Linked DNA regions of Daphnia pulex. The protein of the gene in region 1 purifies or fractionates together with the protein of each later gene. This does not show direct contact. Links are inferred from orthologs where the notes say so. Each region holds a gene or a part of one and is shown in the gene's direction. Other genes may lie near its edges. The genes, in order: splicing factor 3B subunit 6-like and U2 small nuclear ribonucleoprotein A'-like.

What was found.
Region 2: the proteins of splicing factor 3B subunit 6-like (region 1) and U2 small nuclear ribonucleoprotein A'-like purify together in Homo sapiens (affinity purification with mass spectrometry; 5 studies listed by BioGRID and IntAct, with this or other methods). This does not show direct contact. The link is inferred for Daphnia pulex from reciprocal best matches to the Homo sapiens genes SF3B6 and SNRPA1.

What each region holds. Positions count from the first base shown.
Region 1 is NC_060019.1:12,848,535-12,859,961, reverse strand, and holds splicing factor 3B subunit 6-like, read left to right. Parts: upstream 1-5,204; 5' UTR 5,205-5,334; coding exon 5,335-5,364; intron 5,365-5,478; coding exon 5,479-5,597; intron 5,598-5,654; coding exon 5,655-5,874; 3' UTR 5,875-5,936; downstream 5,937-11,427. Other genes in the region: nuclear hormone receptor HR96-like, read right to left, coding at 73-486, 568-777, 848-1,167, 1,241-1,670, 1,741-1,818, 1,895-2,058, 2,261-2,291; pantothenate kinase 3-like, read right to left, coding at 3,057-3,140, 3,199-3,312, 3,375-3,687, 3,762-3,838, 3,923-4,090, 4,159-4,332, 4,400-4,590, 4,652-4,751; dolichyldiphosphatase 1-like, read right to left, coding at 6,168-6,297, 6,360-6,488, 6,560-6,794, 6,854-6,899, 6,970-7,070, 7,139-7,217; RING-box protein 1A, read right to left, coding at 11,097-11,195, 11,274-11,395.
Region 2 is NC_060021.1:10,325,754-10,337,600, reverse strand, and holds U2 small nuclear ribonucleoprotein A'-like, read left to right. Parts: upstream 1-9,851; 5' UTR 9,852-9,994; coding exon 9,995-10,076; intron 10,077-10,213; coding exon 10,214-10,254; intron 10,255-10,313; coding exon 10,314-10,420; intron 10,421-10,484; coding exon 10,485-10,713; intron 10,714-10,776; coding exon 10,777-10,891; intron 10,892-10,953; coding exon 10,954-11,106; intron 11,107-11,169; coding exon 11,170-11,213; 3' UTR 11,214-11,343; downstream 11,344-11,847. Other genes in the region: lariat debranching enzyme B-like, read right to left, coding at 7,685-8,255, 8,312-8,460, 8,525-8,711, 8,783-8,883, 8,941-9,232, 9,302-9,498. UniProt on the Homo sapiens protein: Involved in pre-mRNA splicing as component of the spliceosome. Associated with sn-RNP U2, where it contributes to the binding of stem loop IV of U2 snRNA.

The sequences.
Region 1 (11,427 bases):
AGCCCTGAACGTTAAATTTTTTCCAATTGGATGTTTCATTTTGAAATGACTAGACGGCTGAGATCGTCAGCATCATCTGGACTTCAAGTCGAAGATTTCAATAAGCAGAGGCTCTACCTCTTTAGGATTAAGGTCTAAGTAAACTCGAACGTGATTATCGTTGAGTATGTGCAACTCGGAGATTTTAGCAATCAACTTGAGGAACATTGAGCGGGCCTTGCAACCACCTACCACTGACTCCAAATAGCGCCTAAGCAAATAGTAGTACGACTCTTGTTCCAGTTTGATGGCATCTCGATGGATGACGTGAGGTCGGTTGGGATCGAATAAAGTGATGGCCGACAGCAGCAGCATGATGTGCTCGTCTGAACGCCACAGCGGATCAAAAGATTGAATGTAGCGTTGGTGTTCCTCGTACAAGTTTCCCTGTGCTTCCTTCAACACCTCCACTTTGATGTGATTCATGTGCGAGTCCGTGTGTGGTATCTATTGTCCAATACGATGAGAGAGAAAAGCTCATCAGTCCCACCTCACAAAACCCTTTCATTCGCGATTAATTGCACATACCTTCCAGCATCCTTTGTCGGCGTCGTAGGACATGACCGAGCGCAAAATCATCAGCTCGGTACAACCACCCTTCAGCAAGGCGATCTGGTCCTCTTGACACAAAGTCTTGAAAGCTGCCAATTTCTTCGCCATTTTGATGATTCGCCTGATGGCAATATCCGTCAAATTGATAACATTTAGTAATGTTGGGTCCCCCGAATCGTAATGAAGCTGTCAAAGTTGAATTAAATAAAAAGATTTAGATCAGTATGACTGTTAAAATAATTGTGACTGCTCATACATCGACTGGCCGTTCTTCCGTCAAGGGTGCCAAAAGGGCTTTGTTTGCCACCACGAGTTCCTGCAACTTGGCCATTTCCAGTTCATTCAGTTGGCGATCACGGACTGGCGACAGTGGGCTAGTATCATTGCCCCGAACTAAATCGACCACGACATTGTATTCAGCTGAAATGGCAGTATTTAATAAAGCATCCATGGTCTGCAAGTTTATATTAAAGGCATCGGCTACGCTCATGGATTGACTACGCATCCCGCCATTGGCGGTAGACGGAGAGCTGTCACTTGGGCAATCCTCCGGAGGAGACATTTCAAGCATTCTTCCTATATTGCGAGAAAACAAGTCAAACGTTGATGACACTGTGAAGGGGAAAACCGAGCAAATACTTATTTATACCTCTGTTTTCTGGTGTCAATTGTTGGTGATTACTTATCACTGTTATTGTCGCTTTGTTCGAAGAGGCAGGGCTTTCATGAAATCCCTCGGAAGAGTTGTCCAAGGGACTTGTAGTGACATCTGAATCAGAGAAACTTGATTCTGCTTCAGATTTAATATCACTTTTTCTCTGGTTTGCTCTGCTTCCACCACCATTTAAGAGATGAATAAGTTGTTTGGAGTTGATCTTTGTATTATTTGTCCTCCCAGGTTTAGTTTTCTTCATTCGATTTTCTTCAATCTTCCTTCTCTTTACTGTTCGTTCTTCTTCAGACATGATAAATTCCTTCTTCATTCCAATATCAAGGCACTTTTTAAGCCTGCACTTTTGGCAAAATCTTCGTGTCACAGCATCTATTTTACAATTGTTTTCAAATGGGCAACGGAATTCCTGGAAGAAAGTAAGAATGGCAAGTTCATAGCAACACAAATAATGAGATGTATATTTATTTTCAATGTACCTTTCCTTTAAGGGCATTGCGTCTAAAGAAGGCTTTGCAAGATTCACAGGTAGTTGCACCAAAGTTACACCCTAAAGCCTTTAACCATGCAATAAAACATTCTTGAATTAGTGCCTCAACAGAAAAATAGTAGGAAGCATAATATAGTACATACCTTGTCTCCACACACTCCACAAACTTTCCCAGACATCGAGGCATGGAGTTCACCTGGGCTGGTACAAGCATTGCTGAGAGGAGATACTGGTGTATTGGGAGAGGTTAGCGATACGTACTCTTCCATGTTTTGTAGGTTGTTATTTTTAATAACGAGAGATGAAACTAGGAAGACAATTCATCCATGAGAACGTGCATTAAAGGATCTCCGTTCAGAGGAATCTTAACACTGATTGCTGTGTTGATCAACAGCTTAAATTTCACTCATCTTTATGAAACTAATTCTTGTTATTGACAAGCGGTAAAACTGTTTAAGATTATTACTGGGCAAATCTGAATTATTTACACTAATTTAAAGAACACACACCTATTGTTAAATTAGTCAGTCTCAGATCCATCGAAATTATTGATGAATATAGGAGAGGTTGCCAAGTTGGTCAACGTTCCAGTAATATAAATTTTTTTTTTTAAATGCTGGACAACAGACAAGGCGACAAGCCGGACAATAAGAGCGACTATTATTACGACTTTAAATGCTTCGAATCTTACCACGAATGCGTACAAAAAGCTCGTTGAAGGGTGGATTTTGCTTTCCTCAGCGCAAGATAAGAAAATGCGGAAGACAAAGTACACATCGAATCTTATAACCTTTGACTAGTAGTTTTCAAATCAGGAAGAGGAAACGTATCTAGACCATTAATGCTTATCTGTGATTTATACTCTTTAAGGTTAGATTCTCATACTGGGTTTATCGTCTCGTCAGAATCAGGAAATAAAACAATATTCTAAAATACTATCCCAATACAAACTGTAATAGCCCCGAGTGTTATGACGATTATACAATTTCGACATATTTAATAAACTGTGGTCAAAAATCTGGTTCGTTAAGAAACAACAATAAAGACCCAAATTTTGTACAGAAAAATCAATGTCAACTGGAAGAGAGATACGTATAAATCTACTGTTCTTTTTGGTTTTGTTGGCTGCCATCGGCACTTAAAGAGATGGTAGAAGAAGGAAATGCTCAATAAATATGAGCAACTACACTAAATATGAGAAATTAAACATTGTTGTCTGAGCTGAGAATGTGTGCTGGAATTTCCTTGGCAGAAAACAAAATCTAGCAGTATCTTTGAACTTGCATGTCATTTTCTAATGACTAATTAAGAGTCACCCTCCTTTGGAGGTAGGCATGTCGGTTGTATATGCACGAGTCTCAATAAACAACCAACGGCACCAAAGTAACCCTAATAAATGTAATTACATTTTAATAACGTAAACGATTACGAAATCATTTTGCATTACCTCGTGCTCAAGAAATAGAGCTTTTAAAGCTCCATCGGACCAAAAATCCATTGCATAGGCGAGCTGCTTCATCGAAAGAGTATTGACTCGCAGAAAGTTGCCAACAAACACTACCTGGTAAACCCAAAAAACAACAGAATTAATACAAGTTTAAGCTTATTTGACCAGCAACATACTCTTTCAATTTTTTCATTCAGTGCACACATCCGCGTAATGGACCCGATGTTGTTTGTAATGGTTACAAGCGTCGCACGGGCTAAATCTGCTTTGGTTACTTCGGCTCTTCGATCAGATAAGTTCATTTGACCGAAACTGCTTGCAACAATGTTGCCATCCAACCCGAATCGGTCATAGTCTCCACCGTAAATGTCTCGGACTTTCTTATCAACCTTCGTTGAGTCACCAGCGGCAGCGAGCGCGATAGCTTCTTCATAAGACTGGCATCCGGTAAGCAAGCAGCATAATCCCAAGAAAGTTCCACCACCCAAGCTATGCAAAACATTCAAAGAGCTGTGAGATTAATCTTGAGAGTTTTTTTTTTGGTTTTCTATGCGTTGTTTTACCTGGTACCGGTGACTCGTTTGAAATTATTTGGGCCATACACAGCAAGTATACTCACACCTGAACCAATATTTACTAGCTAGAAAATAAAATCAGATGAAAGTAACAACAACAGAATTAAAGTCATTTGTTTGTTAATAAAGTTTTTAAATGATGGAATTACCAAAAACGGATATGGGTTCTTGAAGTCATATGTTTTTTTTACGCACTTAGTTTCGTCAGTTGGATTTTCCCAATAATAAACCTCGGGACGATGAATTTCTTCAATGTACAAGAGCCCACCGATAAGGGATTCCAGTTCGTCCGATTTATGTAGATTTAAATTAACAGCCTACAGACAACCGTATAACAAGATAAGAAAAAAGAAAAAGAAATCAAAGCTGCATAAAGTGTACAAACCCTTAAAAAGTCTTTTTCAAACTTGTATGCACCTCCACCTGTGGCACAAATGGTTGTGGACAGAGAGGCAAATCCTTTAGATTTTGCTAGCTGCAGAAATTGCTCCATTTCAGAGGTAGGAAATCTGATGAAATGTAATGTTCCTACTCTGTTTCCCATTGGAATTGAACTCATCTGAAATTTGAAAATTATACTGAAATCAATTTCTGATAAAATAGGAAAGATTAGAAGATGTAAACACCTGCAGATGAATGTCTCGGTGCCCTGTCTCTCCATAAGCATTGTTACTAGTGAGATACTTTTGAATGTTGTGTAAGGTTTCAATTTCTGACGAACTTACATTCTCTTCCTCAGGAGCAATGTCAGTTGGTTCAAAATACACTAATTTAACTAAAGTTCCACCTATATCCATTCCAAACCAGGGCATGCTAGCTGTAGAATAAAAATAATTGTTTATTATCACAACTAATTGATTAAAAATAACAATACTTACGAGAATGAACAACTGTGGAACTTGAATCATGGCCATTTGTTACCCTGTTTTCTACACTATCCATTGTGCGACCATATTGTGTTTCGTGATCAGAAGACATCTGTTAATGTGCAGAATTTCAATGTGCTTTCTTTAGTTATATCCCAGCAATTCTTTATTGTATGCACAGCACCGGATGAAGCTTAAAAATCCCTTTATTTAATTGATATCGGAAGTAGCGAATCAGTTCAGTTTACGCGACTCGAATAGTGGCCATCTGCATCATATCTTGATATTCGAACCAATAGAAAAAGGAATTCGGGTCGTACGATGTGGAAACTTTTCCCCTTTCCTTTTCTCTTATTTGAGTATGCTATTCCTCATTTGACACAAATTCGTCTGCTAAAACATCAGCATTGCCAAAATATTAAAATGTGAAGAGTAAATTGAGCTAGGAAAAGATTTTTATGAGATATATATACATTTTTTTAGTATTTAATTTGAATCAAATTTTCTAGTGCATAAAACCAATTAATTGAATTACACGAAAATAATGTTTTGTTTATTCTGTCAGCTCAGAATCGTCGTCTGCTATGCAGCCATTTTGAATACCAAGCGGCGTTCTTATTGTCAAGTTCACGAGCACAGTTTTGAATTGTATTGATCAGTGATTTCGTTGTTTTAACTGAATTTTACTCCTAACAATGGCGATGGCAATGCAGAAAAAGCTAAACGTATGCAATCATGTGTTAATTTTTTTTTATCATTAGTAGTTTATTATATTGAGTCAAGATTGTTGTGCATCAAGATTTCCATGTGAGCATTTCTTAAATATTTTTATTTTTCAGGTGAGGTTACCTCCTGAAGTAAACAGAATCCTATATGTCCGAAATCTTCCCTATAAAATTACATCAGAAGAAATGTATGATATCTTTGGAAAATACGGAGCTATTCGGCAAATCAGAGTGTAAGTAGAAATTGATAATATATGTTAGCATCAATTGTAACTCATTTGATTTGATAGAGGGAACACTCCAGAAACCAGAGGAACAGCTTTTGTGGTCTATGAAGACATTTTTGATGCAAAAAATGCTTGTGATCATCTTTCTGGTTTTAATGTCTGCAATCGTTACCTTGTAGTACTCTATTATCAACCTACAAAGGCCTTCAAAAAGGTTGACACAGACAAGAAGAAAGAAGAGATAGAAAGCATGAAGGCTAAATTTGGATTGAATGATGAATAACATGTAAATTGACCTCATTTCTCATTGTACAATTTGGTATAATAAAAAAACCATTTTCACTATGTGAATTGTAACCAGTATTGACCCTTTTCCAACCAGTGTAATTGTGAGGTATTCCATTGTAATGGAATATCAAATATGATTTGCACGAGTTATTACAACTCAAAAATGTTTTTTCTAAAAAGAATATTCACGAAATATCCGGCTTTCAAGAATAACAGATTTGTAGGCACAGTAAACAGACAAACAATTGCACTGCAGCTACTGAACACAAAATTATTTTCAAGCCAGTTTTACTGGGACTTCATGGAGACCAATTTTCGACTTCTGTGCTTTGATTCGCTCCGGTGAGATGTATATTCAAACCAGATAATGTTAGGGATTAATGTTTGATCTCTCACCAATAGCCATTCACACACTCTCCTAAGAAATAACAATGAATATTGCATGTTATCGGCATGGAAACACTTTTGAGGAAAACTAACCATGATGCAACAGTTGGGAACCACGGCGTTAGAGCGAATTGCGTAAATAAGAACCACGAAACTGCTAAAACAGATCCAAGTAATCCCCCTACTATTACTTGGGAAGCAGTGTGGTACTGAAGATAAATCCTAATAATGAAGCAAGAGAATTAAGTATTTTTTTTCACTTAAGTAAAATAAACAAAGAATTAGAATAAAACCTTGCTATGGCAACAATGATAGATGCAACAAGGCATGCTACTGAGATGGCAGTTTTCCAGATGCAAATCCATATGGTATTTGTGTAGCTAATGTGTCTCAAGCGTACCCAAATAAAAAGGAACATGTAGGTAGTAAAAAACCACATGAACTGGCTGTGAGATGATGGCATTCCATACTCATGTAAGAGGCTAGGTCTAACTAATGGTCTTCCCTGACGAAGAGTATGTTTGAGCACTAAAATTTAAAAACATAAATGTATGTGGGTTTTAACAGAAATTGGGAAGAAATAATACCGTAATTAATGCCTTCATTTAACACCAGTCCTAAGAGGTATGATATCTACAAAAAAGAACAAAGTTTAAAACATTCACAAATTTAGAATTCCACGCACATGTGAATACTGATTTACCGTATGCAAATCTCTTCTAAACAATATCAATGTTATAAAACTGACAATAAGGGCATGAGGAACCATAGAAGAAAACGCTAGCAGTTTTCCAATGAGATCACCTACATGATAGAATCAGAATTCAATAATAATGAGAAGCCACTAAAAAACTAAAATTACACAAAATAACCTTCAGGATATTCTGCTGTGATACTTAATGGAATCCATTTTATGTTTGAATGTATGTTATTTGTTTCTGGATCCTCCATTTTCAAAAGGCAACACAATGTAAATAAACCATGTAATGTCGAAAACCTTGGCAACGTATTACCGGTGTAAGTCGTTTAAAGGGGCGAGTTGCCAAATCAACAAAAATAATTGCACTTAATGTCGCTTTTTTTATATATGAACTTAATTATGCCAAAGACTACTCGTTTGTAAATAAACTAGTTGAAATAAACAGAAAAGTAATATACAAATAATGAATTACATTAAACTAGGGCTCGCGTTGCAAGCGTTGGCCTTCGGCTAAGTGACAGAGCTATCTTGGAAGAATTTTGGAATTAGGCAGTCTTGTTCTTGTGCTTCATTTTCTTGTCGTTATTTTTTATTTTACTCTGTAATTTTTTATTTTATTGTACTCTGTATACTCTTCTACTTTTTTAAAACACTGACCATAAAAAAAAAAAGAACGACGTTGCATTTATAAATTTTCATTTCGACAAAAATAAACAAATAAGGAAGAAGGACAAATTAACATTTTTAGCGGAAGTAAAATAAACTTTTTGTCTGGGAATTCCAAACCTGGTCGGTATATACCTCATTTCTCGAAGTTTGGTGATACTTGATGAATACACTTTTCTGCCGTGTAATCAACCTCAGCTTCGGTGGTGAATCGCCCAATTCCAAATCGAATAGAAGAATGCGCCAAATCTTCTTCAGCGCCAATGGTCCGCAAAATATATGAAAGTTCCAGCAATGCTGAGGTGCAAGTACTTCCGCTTGAGAGTGCCACGTCTTACGTAATAAAAAGAATTAGTTAAAATGAAAGGTAGTGGAAGTTGCCTTTAAAGTTACCTTTCAGGGCCATGAAAAGACTTTCTCCCTCGACGTAGGCGAAAGAAAGGTTTACACAACCTGGGTAGGAGTGTTCAGGATCTCAATTTCGTACGACATGTGTTAAACTATTACCAATCTGATCGATCAAGCGTTGCGATAGTTAACTAATCTGGCATGATTATACTAAAACATGGTTTTGATCAATTAGTTATGTATGGATACTACTATGACATGAACTAAAACCTTAAGTTCTTGCTGAGCTACTTCACATGCTGCGCCAAAACCAACTGTCACTCTGTCAGTGGAGTAGGAACTGTTCCACCACGTATCCCTCATTCCTGACCACCTCCACTTTGCAGAGCTTCAATCCTAACCCGTGGTCGGCCTATCACGTAAAGAGCACCAACACCTTTTGTTCAAGTTCAAGAAAATAATGATGCGAAAAAAGAGTGAATTACATCGAAATAACAATCATATATTAAATTGTAAAATACCTTTATAAATCAATTGACATCGATTCAACATCAATTGGAATTTTACCTAGAGCTTGGGCTCCATCACAGTGGAAAAACACTTTAGCTTTTCGACACATAGCATCTAATGATGAAAAAATTATGTATAGAAATAGAACATTAGACTCTACAATGATTATGTGTGTGTCTCACCTATTTCTGCTATGGAATAATTTGCCATGTCAGGAAGCATTGCAACTAATACCCTTGTAAGTATCGACTCTAGCCACAAGTTGGTAACTGGAAGTTGGTCACTGGAAGTTGGTCACTGGAAGTTGGTCACTGTAAGTTGGTCACTGTAAGTTGATCCATGCTACATTTACTCCTGTAGAACAAATTCAGTTTAAAGATTAAACTTTTCTGCATCTGGGCGATTACGAATTACCAGTTGTAAACATGTAGTTTGGCACAGGTGGGTTGGCACTGTTTCGATATACTGAAGAACATGCTGAGTTCCTGAAATGACTTAATTTAGTAAGAGACCAATTATTTAACTGTTGACACAAGTTGCTGAATGTTTAATCGTTTTTTTTTCAATGGAAGCAACTGTTGGTATGTGTCTGTGGACTAGGACTAGGACATAACAAAAAGCTGAATGAATACAGTGAAACTTGGGAATACCGAAACATTAAATATTAACTTAAATAAAATTCGGAAGTAAACGCCAATTTTTGTTAGGCATGGAAAACATTTTGAATTACTTTTCCTTTGATAATATAATACACGAATCTTCGAATGCATTCTAAATCTGTTGTTTGTTTACATTTACATTTCTATCACAAAAACTACCCCTGGGTATCCACGCAATTCCATTTTCAGGTTTCGGCGGTGACTGAAAAATGTGGGACCGTGAGTTGAAAATCGCGTGGCAGGGAGTATAGGCTTCACTGAATTTCCGATTTTATATCGATCGGTAAATCGAGACGGGAGCCAATAGCAAGGCCAGATTTCGGTCACGTGGGGGTAGTTTTTCTCTCTAAGCTCCGCCTTTTCCCATTTCCTTCCAGGGAGACTTTTGAGCTCTACGGGAACCCTGTTAAGGCCCTCGGCAGGCTAAAGCCTTAGCCTCAGGGATCAATAATACTAATAAACACAGTTCGTTTTTCAATCATGACATCGAAGATTCGAAATGCTCAGCTCATCTCATCGGATTTAGGGACAATGATAGCTGAGATCACCTGATGGCAAAAAATATGACCCCATAAGTGATGCATATCTTGTGTCGAATAAACCTAATAGAATGTAATATGTATAAGAAAAAATAGCAAATCATGATAACTCATACGCTGGAAGAGTGATGTCGGATAAGTGTTGCCATTTGCGCTTTGAAGTCATCTAGCTCTCTTGTCTAAAAGAAGAATAAGAAGCACAAGAAGAAGTGGGAAAAAAGATGAGCTGTTTGGGACTGACGACATTTAAAATCATGACTCAGATAAAATTCTTCGAACCAGTAAAAAATCCATCGCACAAGTAGCCAATATCTAGTCAAGGTGCGGTACAAAAGGCGTAGAGTAGGTGAAGGGTGAGGTTAAGCGTAGGTTGCATTGGAATTTTCGTCGTGGGAAGGACAAATGAACGCAAAGCTTAAGTACATTACATTAAGAATGTAAAATATGTATTCATTAAAAAAGCCTCAGTCGTCTCATTGCTTTCGCCAATCAACAATTGGAATTTAAGAGGAGCTGTAATACCAGTGTGATACGTCAGAGCGCCTATGATCTGCTGCAAAAGTCAAATTATTCTTTCGAGTTCTATTTCGTAGCCATGACTCTAACCACTATGACCCGAAGAAAGTAAAGCCCCAGAGCGCTCACTCACGAATTTGTGTTGGATAGTATTACTTTTTTATATTAAAACACTGATTTAATACCACTCCCTTCAATTGTTTTTTGTTCTTCCACTCCTATCACGTCAGCCGATTTCATCACTGAAGAATCTAAAAGGTTGCCACGAAATTTCAGCAACCCACGTAAACTCGCTGCCTACGGCAGTTTTGAATGTTTTTGTTATCCTTTTTGGTAGTTGTATTTACCTTGCTCGAAGTGTTATTACTTTCAATGACGTAACTAAGCCACTCCCTTTATCGGTGACGTCTAGAACACGTCTAAAAATACATGTTATTTAAGGTTAAAACAATAAATCCAGGGATTTTCCTTGGTCAACTAATCCGTTTAGTAATAACAGAAGTCCCGGGAGAAGTCCCATGTCGAAACGATATAGTTTGTTGATGAACTAAAAATACGTCTCAAACTTTTCTGCATACTTGCCCTTTCCTAAAACTAGAAAAAATCATTAATACGAAATTTAGGACCACAAGTTTCGAAAACACTTCTCCACCACTCTTTTTGAACAATATTCAACCTAATTCCACGATTTTACCTACAATATTACGTCATGTAATTCGTACTTTCAAAATAGTTGAAGGGCACATTTATTTTTGAAATTCTTAGCCACGAAAATTCAGCCAGTTTCAGAAGATTCCGAGAAAGAAAAAAAAAGAAGTGACGGTATTCAAACATGAAACGCGCTAATAAAAAAAAGAATTCCACAAAAAACAAAGGACAGGCGTCAGGCCACTTAATGTCCATATTTTTGGAATTCCCATTCGCGATTATCCAATGGGCATACCTGACGAGTCTTCAGCCAGCGAGAAATACAATGGAAGTGGAAGGCATGCTGTAAATCAAAAGAATTTTTTGAATATGCTTTTCATCTCTGAGGAACTAAAAGGAATATAAATCAATATTCACTTACATTGCAGACACCCCAGGCAACTGTGCATTCTTCACTAGTAGCTGAAGCCTGATTGGCTTGACATTCAATGCAGAGGTCCATAATGTGATTACGACAAATAGCACAGTTGTCGACAACAATATCTAAGAACAGTGATTAGAAATCAGCACATATA
Region 2 (11,847 bases), on another chromosome or scaffold:
TTCAACTTAAAAAGCATTTGACTTTGTGTATAAATTGACGGCCAGGCTATACAAAGATTAACTCGAAGCCAGTTAAAGCAGGAAGACTATATAACTTGAATCGATATTATTTTTACGGCGGAGAATAAAAATTCGACTAATTCGATCAAATGGAATTTTTTTTTTAAAGAAAGAAAAGACAAAAAAATACAGAAAACAGGGAGAATGTTATGGCGGAAGTGGCTATCATTAAGGCTGTCAGGTGGGAGGAGTGTGAACAATGGTCATCAACCAATCGGGAGAGTTGGCTGCCCGCAAAGTACACACTCAAAGCGCCGCTCTCTATACACTTTGCTACACACACACTACAAAAAAATAAAAGGGAAACAAGTTTTCAAAATATATCCAAGTTGAAACAACAGAACTACACTACCTGAGGATTACCACTTCATTCACTGGTGGCGGCCCCAAGTGAAAGGCGGGAACTGCTCTGGCCATCACCGCCGCTATCCTAATTCTTTTCCTTGGTTTTGCTTCCCACCTCCCAGCAGCAAATTGCACATCCCGTCTCTATTTTGGTATTTGATTATCACTCGAAATTCAAATCCGGCACCTCCTGCTTCTTCTCATCGCCAACTCGATTTTATATTTTAGAGACTTGGGATTTTCGTTGAGAGGACAAGACTCCAGAGAGAGGGTCCAGCAGAAATTGATGGAAAAAATGTAAAATTGTGCAGTAAAGTATATCATCATTCTCCATCGCCAATGTATATATATACGAAGGATTTGTTTTCAGTCTATTTTTTCGAACCCTCGAGATCGTTTTTATTGCATCTCTGGAGACTCTCTGAAACATTTTGGGTTTGCAAAGAGTTGAAACTCCTCCCCGTTTCCCAGCACTGATGTGCCTAGATGGTCACATTGACTGCGCACACATATGCCTGCCTATGTGTGAGCGGAGACTTGAGAGACGATCTGTCATGGAACATTGCGGTTTCCCTTCCTCCCCACACGTCAAACAAGTCTGCTAGTCGTTTGGCACTTTTCGTATATACACACACACGTATATAGACTCGTCGTTGGCACAGGAAGTCGACCATAAATATATATAAAGAACAATACCATTCGGGGCTGTGCGCGACAGGGCTCTGCTCCATTTCTCCATTTCGCTGCCCTCGGCTAATTAGTAGGCGGTTGTATTTCATTATATCCACACACAGTCAACTGTGCAAATGGGTCGCTAGCTCAAAAAAAAAAAAAAGAAAAACAAAAATTCATTCATGTTCATCTCGCTGAATGTATGGAGTGTGTTTTTCTAACACTGTGCTGCTGTTTTGTCAAAACTTAATTTAAGCCTTTTTAGCCGTGCCAAAAAAGAAAGGGTTCTTTGACTCTTTCTATGTCTTCCAATTCTAATGCGTCGGTTGAGACTCGAACATGGGTCAAGTTCAGGAAACCTTATTTACTTATTTAGAGTCTACTGTATCTCAACCACTTGTTTTGTTGTACGATGCTGGCCAACATACACATTTATTTCTAATTCCGGTTATAATTCCGGAGTGTACATTCAGCGTCCAAGCCGATGAAGGGATATCTAGCAACTTGGCAGCAACTGATTCAAATGAATATGATTGAAGAATCACCTGCCAAACGGCCTAGATAGTTTATATTGTTGGCAACTTGAATTGTTTGAAAGAAAAATCGGCACATCCATCTTATTGGAGAAACGCCAGATCATCAATGAATATTTTTTGGCCCTTTGAGAATTCTCAGCGCGAAGTACAAAAAGCCCCAAAAAGGAAATTTGTAAGAAATGTAGTGATTTTTTTTTCCTGATGGTTCAATCGAACTTTTGGGGGTTTGAAGGCGATGGCACAAAGAAGGGCAAAGGAACAACGACATTGAATGAAAAGAGCAAGAGAGGGCTAACAGCCGAGTGTACGAAAAAAAGGCAAAGGTTCTCCTAACATCAATCAACTCGGGGGGACTTTGAAACCTCGTTAACCAACCTGCCGCCAAAGCCATTCAACACGTTGGCTCCTTGGTGCTTCTTGTTGCTGCTCCTGCTTCCATTCATCTGGATTTTCTCTCTCTCTCTCTCTGATTTTTTCTCCGGGTCCCTTTCTTGGCAACTTTACTACATTTCCATCAGCATTCGACTCTCTCGTTTTCACGGGTTAAACTCTAAACTGCCGTGGCTTTTTCAAAATCACACAACGACGATAACATGTATTTGAATTCCATCCTTTTTTGAAGCATTTCATTCAAACTCAACGCGTATAAGATCATGTCTTTCTGACAAAATACCTTTTTTTCCCCCCTGGCAGCATTACGAGATAACTGTGTGTGTATATTCCTTAGCCTGGCACTAGAGTTGTAATAAAAATAACAGCTCTTTTATACCATGGTCCCCTCAACACTCTCTCGGCGTTAACATTATAAAAACTTGACGAACCGATGAAATCTCTCCAACCTGTCGGGCACAAGAAGGTCGCAAAGGCTTAAAATAAGACATGGAGAAACGAGTTGGTACTTTTGCCGTTCGTTTTGATTCACAACTTACCTTTTACGAATTACAAACTCGAAACGCTCTCGAGTTTAATTAAAATGAATCAGGTGTTTCTGAATGAATTTGCCAAGACATTTCAATCGATTGATCTCTTTAAATTGACATTTTCCATTGAAATGAAAAGAATTGAATTGCTAATATTGCACAACTGCCATTGAAAAAATAAAAAAACAAAATAAAAGACGGCGGTAATTTTGAATTGCGTTTAAATTTACCTAGAGAAGTTCCTTGTAGACCAAGTTATTATACCGCAGGGGACTCAATCCCTCGATAGGCTCGAAATTCTTTTTATACGATACTTCACAGTGTGTAATTCATGCTAGAGGACAGGACAATGGAAACCGACATTGGCCGGTCAGAATGCGATAAAAACAAAACAAAGCGCTATATTAAAAAAGAAGATGAAGAAACAACAGCCTCACCGACGGGCATAGGATCAACGTAAAAAATAAAGGTGCATTCGCACACAATGAGGTTCTTATCCAGACTCTTTTCAGGTGGTTATTTGATTCGGTTGTATTCGATAAACAGCAGGTCATAATCCTCGGATTGTAAACCAAGAATGTTGTTTTCTCAGCTATGGTTTTTCTTTCTTTCTTTTCCTCTATGAGCTTGTTCAAAGATGGGAACACAACACAATAATGGATATAGAAAGCTGGATGAGATTCGATTATATCGGTAAATCACCCACCGCCTGCTGTTTGGCTGTCTTCGACTGTCTTGAAGGAATTTCGCGCACGTTACAACTTACTTCATCTTTTTCCTTTCAGCATCCATAGGACGCATGCCCTATGGGCAGTCTTCACATTTCCAGGTGGAGGGACCGTGAGATATTCTGGATTTGACTTGGGTCGTCATAAAACATAATTTGCTGGCCACTGCGATGAAGTGCATAAGCGTACAAAGAAATGCGGCAAGAGAGTAGCGATGATCGTTGAGAATCGGAAGAGGCTGAGCCAATCAACCGCTCATCGTGGGGCCGGTCTGCATGTGTGGCCACACAGGTGGGTGTTCCTCAACTATTGCTTTAGAGACGACCAAATTACATCAAGGCACTTTTGAAAGGGGGGGGGGGAAATATTGGGATAAAACTGCAGCGATCATCATCACCACCTTCACACACAGCTTTAACACTATTACAAATGCTATGAACACACCACTGAGAAGAGAATTGTACAGTTGGCCGTAACCATCTGGCACTCATTCAAACACAGTGAGCGCAACTTGCAAGCTCCAAATGCCTATCGTCTAAATGCGTATAACCCGTTTTTTTCTTTCTTTCTTTCCATTTAATTGAGATGCCAACCAGGTTTTGTGGAGTAGTCAGGGACTGTTACGTTGAAGAAGTTAAATAATTTAGAACAATCGACTTTCTACTTTCTAAAATGTTTGACTTTTCTCCTTTTTCCCCCCTGTGAAATTAATAAAGCGGCAGGAAGATTATTATGTCACATGTGACGTTGTTATGCAGAACAGGTGCAGCGCTTAAGATGCAGATGATGATTGCGTACACAGATGTGCGTGATCTACATATAAAAATGTAATACTGTAACCGACTTCACACAGAATCATAGGGAAATCAATGTGATATGCATTTGTTTTTTCTCGCCATTTCCAGCCTGGTTGGTGAGTGTCATTCCACAACGGAAATGTTTTAACTTAGATAAATATTAACCAAGATGAACATCTTGGTTTTATTGTTATTTCCTACAAAATGACATCAGAATGTAAAAGCAAATTTGACTTAATCTTGGTTTTCGTTATAAATATCCACGTATAGTATAATAAACCATACAATAGCATTCCGATCATGGCTTTTGTCTAGCCTATATGAAAATCTTTTACGGAATAAAAAACTGGACTAGCTAATTCTTGTAGAGGAAAGTTGACTTATTTGTATAGCCTCCCCTGTTACAGTTTATCACTTTGTCAGTGTGAGCCATAACCTTGCATCACCGGAAACCTTATACAAGTCAAATAAAGTAGAACTCGGTTATTTTCAAATGACAAGTGTCACGAAACCTGCACGAAACCTTGTCTATGCGTTGTTAATGTGTATGTTGGTTGGATTCAAGAATCAAGATACAACTCCAGCAGCAAAAGACTCGAAGGAATACATCTAAATTCGTGAGCCTCATGAATAGTTGATTGCGATCTAACGTTTGGAGGTGTATTGAAGCTGACCAACAGTAGGAAATCATTAGCTATTCAGGCTTTGTTGGGCTTAGGTTGTGGAGATCGCGGATCTGTTTTTTGTCTGGTTTCCGTTATGGTAATATCTTATATACAGGGAAAAAAGTCTTTGGGAAAAGATCTAAACTACAATAACATAGGCCCTACTATTTGTGTCACCTTTACCCGTCTTGTTTGTCACTCGCTCTTTTCTATGCGCTTTCATTATTACCATATTACTGATGTATATTTGGTTTGAATTTGAGCAATCTTACACATACTACCTAGTAGGCCTAGTTAATAAAGTTTTAAGCGATGGCAATACTGATTAAAGAATAATAGACTAGCAGTTGTGGGAGAATTATCAACGGCAAAGATACCGTTAATGTGATAATATGTTATGTGGAGTTGTTTGCTTCTAAATTCAAAAAAGTTCACTTTTTAACCAATAAAATATGTTCAACGCCATCTAGGGGTCACATTTAAAGTGCAATGTATTAAAAAGGATGGCAACCCTGCACGTCTTTTTCCCCCCGTTATTTCATTTTTCAGTAGGAAGTGGCGCCATACTATACTACCATCTCGATGTGTTGTTTCTTGTTTTTTCCGATTGCTTGCTGCGCTGAAATCGTAAGTTGTAGTGAATTTTGTGTAATGTGTCAGTGATGTAAACTGTTCTAAACACTTTAGGTTGCATAATTCACATTTGTGTGTGTGTTAATTCTTTGTTTAGTTAAGATAAAATCTATTGCACCTCACGTGGGGGTACTAAAATGTCGGAACCACAGATAAATAACAACTCTTTATCTGTGGTCGAACATGCAAATGTTAATCAAGACTTTTTTTACAAAAAAAACTGTCCAGAATTAGTAGGAATCCTAAATTAAAAAGTAGCTTAAAGAATTAAATTAGGATTCGGGAATGTTTTCTAACCACCCAGGTGTACCATACTCCTAGACAAAACCTTAAACCAACACTAAAACTTACAATTATGATGAGAAAATTCTAAATTGAATTAACATTGTCTTTTTTTTTGTTTTAGATTCTTCTAAAACTTAAAGAAAATTTTCCGAGTCTTTTTATTAAGAAGTTGATGGAAAATGGGGACTTGGTTTTAAAGAATGAACCAAATTTTTTAGGACACGGATCCTAAAAGTCTACCACCGCCCGTTTTTAAATCAACCGTATTCGACTAATTGTCAAATACTTTACTCGAGTTGAGGCAGTTTGCACCGACCAACGTGGCCAGCATCATTTACTCGTGGAGCGCTCACTAAACATTTCAAAAGCCTTACCCGACTCTGGGTATGGAATTAGCTTTGGTATTCTTTTTTTTGCTCTTGAAAACCTGTGGCGTAAAAATTAAATTTTACTTTTATCATTTTCAGTACGAATGAGTTGCAAATGATCGCGGCTCACCTCAAGCAATTGCCACCCCCCCTCCCCCCAAACAATTCGGATGATGATAAGAAAAACAAACAATTCCTTATGGAGCTCTTGTTGAGTGAAAAATAGTTTGAAAATACGAGCGTAATTCAGGAGAATGTACAGGTTGTTGTGTTTTTATATACACCCTTGGAATTCTTTTTATTACAGATATCCCGTCATGAAAGGCACGCTTCCAAACTTATAGGCACTGGCTGAAAATGCCGTTGTACCATAGTGAGGACATCCACTGGAATGAAAACATCGTGCTGGCAATACTTTTCCGTTGAGGGCTGTCTCGACTTACTCAAACTCAACTTTTGCCTGCAACGTAACTTCCACCAGTTTCGACTGGAGACCGAGGATTCCGTTTTCCGCTTGAAGCCGTGGAAGGGCTAAGACGGAAAGGTGTTGTCGCCATGTCGGATGGGCCCAGGAAGTCTCAGACCATTAATTCCTTCTGCGTGTACGAAGTAGGAAAACTGAATATAAGAGGAAAACGTCCTCGACGTCCGTAACGATGTCAAGTCTGAATGGGAGAACGTGTGCGTTGCATGCTTTCTTCTCACGTTCCAGCCACCTGTCCCACCCGGAACACACTTTAACTTCAGGTATTTTGTTCTACATTTTAGTTTTTGGAGTTGCAACTAACGTTTACCAATCGATATAGTGATCCATTGGTTTCTCATTTTTATCTACATCCAAGGCTGTGAGATCACCTTTGAAGATTATTAAACAAGGACCAGATCTCAGACCTAAAAATTCTAGGAGGACAGAACCTTCCGTGTTTGGTATGTTTAAAATGAGCTTGTTGGTATTTTTAAACAGACAGTGGATTGACTTCTTTTATGATTAATAAAGGTTGTACTGCAATCAATACAAGATGGATATAGATCGTGTCTCGCATAATAGAGAAGGAGTAAACGATTCATTCAACATTATGATTCGACGTAAATTAAAGGAGAACAACTTCAAAGCAGTGCTGAAAACATCCTAGACTTAAACACGGATTCTTGACTACGATGACACAGGAGCGGCCCACTACTCCAAAATGACCAATCAAATTCCAGTATTGGATTTCAACGACACATTCTTACTTTACTTAGTTTTCAGAACCCGCATAACGGAGAAATTAATTTAAATATTCCACGGACATAAAATTGTCCAATACAATTTTCCGGTAAAAAACTTCCCCTACAAATCCTAAGAATTTGCAACTATGTTGGGATGGATTGGTGCAAATATGCAAACATTCGTACAATTATTTTGTCTTAATTTCATATCTTCTCCTATCTAGCTCATTCCATATTGGCTATAACATTTTTCTATCTTGAATATTAGCTACAACTGTGATGTTTCAAGGTAAACGTACTCTGCCTATCTTGCCTTCTGAAAACTACCTACTTAAATAAGAATACAACTGTTGGAAAATTTAAAATGGCAAAAAACTTAAACGAAGTAAATAGATAGCAAAATATGCATTTTTTCCAAGTAGATTTTATTGAAAAATCAGGTCATCTCTTTTTTAATTTTTAAAAGCTATGTAGAACTTTCCGGGTCCATGTAAAGTTCTTGGTTGCGTCGTTTAAATTTCTTTACGGTAGTAGGTACATCTTGATCATCTACTTTAGCACTTGAATCGTTTTCATCCAAAATCCCTCCTAAGGGAGCTTCCTTTTCCGCAGTATGTGGTTCTTCCTCATGTGTTTCATTTTGCGGCTGCGGTAAACTCATTTTACTTCTCTTCAGCGGTTTGGTATCGACAAAGAATATACCATTGTCCTGCCCAGCTACCTCCTCAGTATGGTCACCTGTCTCTTCTTCTTCATCGTCATCTTCAAGAGCAATTTCGTCTGGATTAACTACGGGAGCAGTGAGGATAATCGGTTTCCCAATCAATTTTTCGAGGGGATCGTCGATACCAAGCTTTTCGCAAAATTGTGTAGTTTGAGGATTCAATTGCGCTTGTGCTTGCTGAGCATTTCTGTTGTAATTTGGTCGAGGCTTAAATGGTTCAGCAGTTAAGGAGAAATTTGACGGAATTTTGTAGTCGTTGTCAAAGATAGTTTTCACTTGTTCTATTTCTTCTTCGTTTGGATTAAAGTTCCATCTTACATAAAAAAAGGTCAGCATCCATAAAAATAAAAACTAATGCTTTTGTGTCACCTTTCAGTGCATCCAGGACCTCCACTTGGCATGTACTGAGTAGTTGGACGAACACTCATTAAATGGTTAGTTGACCGAAGAATTGCTAACCAATGCGGATCATAACACAACTCCAAATTTTGGGTGGAATCATGTGGAATTTCCACCAACTTTTAGATATACCCAACAGTTAAATTGTTAAATTTTTCGAGAATATTCTGAATTAAATCTTACTTCAAGGTACTGACGTCTTGGAAGACACTTATCAAGTGCTAGAAATTGAGTTGATTGTTTTTCATTATGTTGGATTGTAGCAGCAAACCTACAATGAAGGTGGGCAGCAAACCAATGTTTAGGCTTCAATTCGTGAAGTAATGTTTCTCCAGCTTGACTTCCCAATACATTTTGGGCTATCTCATCACTGGAAGGGGAAAGAAAGAAATGTGTAAATTGAATTGTGTTTTGGAACAATTAGGTAACACTATTTCAAACCGAAAGAATGGTTTCCAATGCAGAAGTTCTCTGGTATCTGCATAATTGTAGACACCACGAGGCCAATCATGTGAAATAAAAATATCTATGTCTTCTTTTAACTGAAAATTAAAAGACATTTAAGTTTTTAATCTTTAAAACAATCAAAATGTAATTACCTGTTTCAAGCGAAATACTTCAAGACTACGAACATGATAAGCTGATCTCATAGTGCTGTTTGTGTAGGGAGGTTTTTCAAAATGTCCTTTCAAGTAATCATGTCCTTTAAAGATGCCTGATATTCCCGCTATTCTGATGCCACCAAACTTGACTACACCAGCATAGCCAAGATAATATATATTTGGAGCAACCCAGCCTCCATATGCAAGTTCTTGTAGATAGTTTGATGCTTCATGATTGCCTCCAATGAAAATAGTTAAAATTGGTGCTTTCAATTCACCATTATAATACCTGATATTGAAAAAAACAGTAACAATTACAATAAACTCTTATTTGTCTAAAACAATTATAAATAAATACTTGTAGAATGTACAGATATGACGGAATTTGTCAGGTACTGCCATGCATTGTAAGTCACTTTCGTTTCGAACAGCTTGAAAATCTCCACAACAGATGAGCAAATCAACTTTGACATTTCTTTGCCTCGCCAAATTCTCGACAGACCGGTAAATTTGATCAAGTTCACCATGAGCGCACCCTTCAACAGCAATAATCATGTTTTATACTGTCTTTAACTTGATATTTTAAGATAAATGTCAAATGCTGTTTCAAAGTTGATAACTTGCTTTCAAGTTACAACACAAACTCAATATTTTGAAGTTGTTTACAGTTTTACTGGAAGCCGAATCGTTCGTGGCTATTGTCGTCTGCTTAAAACCTAGCGGCAAAAACACAGCCATTTTCATATATTTTCTAACGTTTATAATTTTTTTTAATTTTGTTGACAAATTTAAATACTTTAGTTTAGAAAAGTATTTATATTTCAAGATAAAAAGCTACAGATGCACAAAACCTTTGATAAAACTTTAGTTTGAAAAGTTAATTTCCTGTTTGGAAATGTATTCGGAAATGAGTTGCAACATCGCACATGGCGTCACTTAGATATCCCTAGATTTGTCAACTACAAACGTGCAAAAACATTTTGTTCAAGTTTTAATTGCATCTTTTCCCAAATTCAATTACGTGTTTAAGGTTTAAAAAGCCAAAAAGAAAATGGTGAAGTTGACGGCTGAGGTCATTCACTTGAGCCACCAGTACACGAATGCCATCAAAGAAAGAGAACTAGATTTAAGAGGTATGTAACCGGCGTTCAGCTTCAATCTCATTCAGTCAGTTACTAAAGTTCAAAAGTTTTTTGTGTTGGCTTAAAAAAAGTGATGTAATTGTAAAAATATTTCGTGAAAATACAGCTATTTTTTGTCATCATTTTAGGTTACAAGATTCCTGTAATTGAAAACCTAGGAGCAACTTTAGTAAGTAAATTTGTAGTGTAATCATGCTGAACAGTTACTGGAGTGTTTTCTTTTTTCAGGATCAGTTTGACACAATAGATTTTTCAGATAATGACATAAGGAAATTGGATGGTTTTCCCTTGCTGAGACGAATTAAAAGTCTTCTCCTAAACAACAACAGAATCTTGTAAGTTTTTTGTTGTATTATTCACAAATTTAATTTCATGCAAATGATTCTTTAAAATCTGTAGACGCATTGCTGATGGATTAGGTGAAGTCATTCCAAACCTCGAAACCCTTGTCCTGACAAATAATCATCTGCAAGAGTTGGGCGACCTTGACCCATTAGCAGAATTCTCTAAACTCACCTATTTAAGTCTACTGAGCAATCCTGTTGCAAATAAGCAACATTATCGTTCATATGTGATAAACAAGTTGCCAAGCCTGAGGGTGTTGGATTTTCGTAAAGTAAAACTTAAGGTAATAATGTTCTACCTGACATCAGGAATTTTCCTCCTTATTCATGTAAAACTTGATTTGAAGGAGAGAGAAGCCGCCCGAGACCTATTCAAATCAAAGAAAGGAAAAGTATTGGCGAAAGAAATCGCCCAGAAAAGCAAGTTTCTTTCAGCTGAAGCGGGAAATAAGGCACCGATAGGTAAAAAACACAAATGTTTTGTTTTGTTAGCCTAAGAAATGTTATTAAATTATTTTGTGTAGGTGGTGCATCTGCGGAGGAGGCTCGTGCAATCCGAGAAGCTGTTGCTAATGCCTCCACCTTGGAAGAGGTAGAACGTCTAAACCAAATGTTGAGGGCAGGTGTCGTACCTGGAAAAGCCACCCAAGGCTCCAGCAAAAACGGAAATGCAAATGGTAAATTCACATCCTGTCTTCAACTTCCTTGTTTCGTTTGTTAAAACTTTTGAATTGTTGTAGGTGAAGATATGGAGGAGGAAGAAGATGAACCCATGGAGAAATGACAATGCCATCACGGGTAAAAATTAATTTGTATCAAGCTGTTAATGTGAATGTGGGACTACACTTTGATAATAAAAATATCGCTACCCTAGAGTAAATAAGGTAGCAGAAAGATATTTTTGAAATTACAAATTGCCCGTCTAATTTGTGTCACAGTTAAAAGACCGAGAAGCGATTAAATTTGGTCATTTTAACAAAACTGTGTTGTGAAAAATGCGTAGCGAAACCAATTTTCAGTCATAGAATTAGATATGCTACATAGTGTGTATATCCTACGTGTATTCGGAAGAGGCTCATCTGCCATTTGCGGAATGAGTCATGCATAGAAGGCGGATGTGGGGGTGTGCGTTATTTTCAGCCGGACATGACGGGTTAGGAGTAGCTTGGAAACTGTAGACGATCTAATTTAGAGCGTTTCGTGTCCTTTCATTAACGAGCGTGCCCGTGCGTAAGTTTCGTTGTTTTGAGTAAGATTTTTGGCGCCCACTCCTATTTTTCCCGATACCACATCCGGAATATCATGAGCTAACACCGCCATGATGATGTGATAATGGCAGCAAACTTGGTTTGTAGGTTACAACTTACAGCTATACGAAAATCCAGAACTGATCGTTTTAAGTTCAAAATTCTACTAAT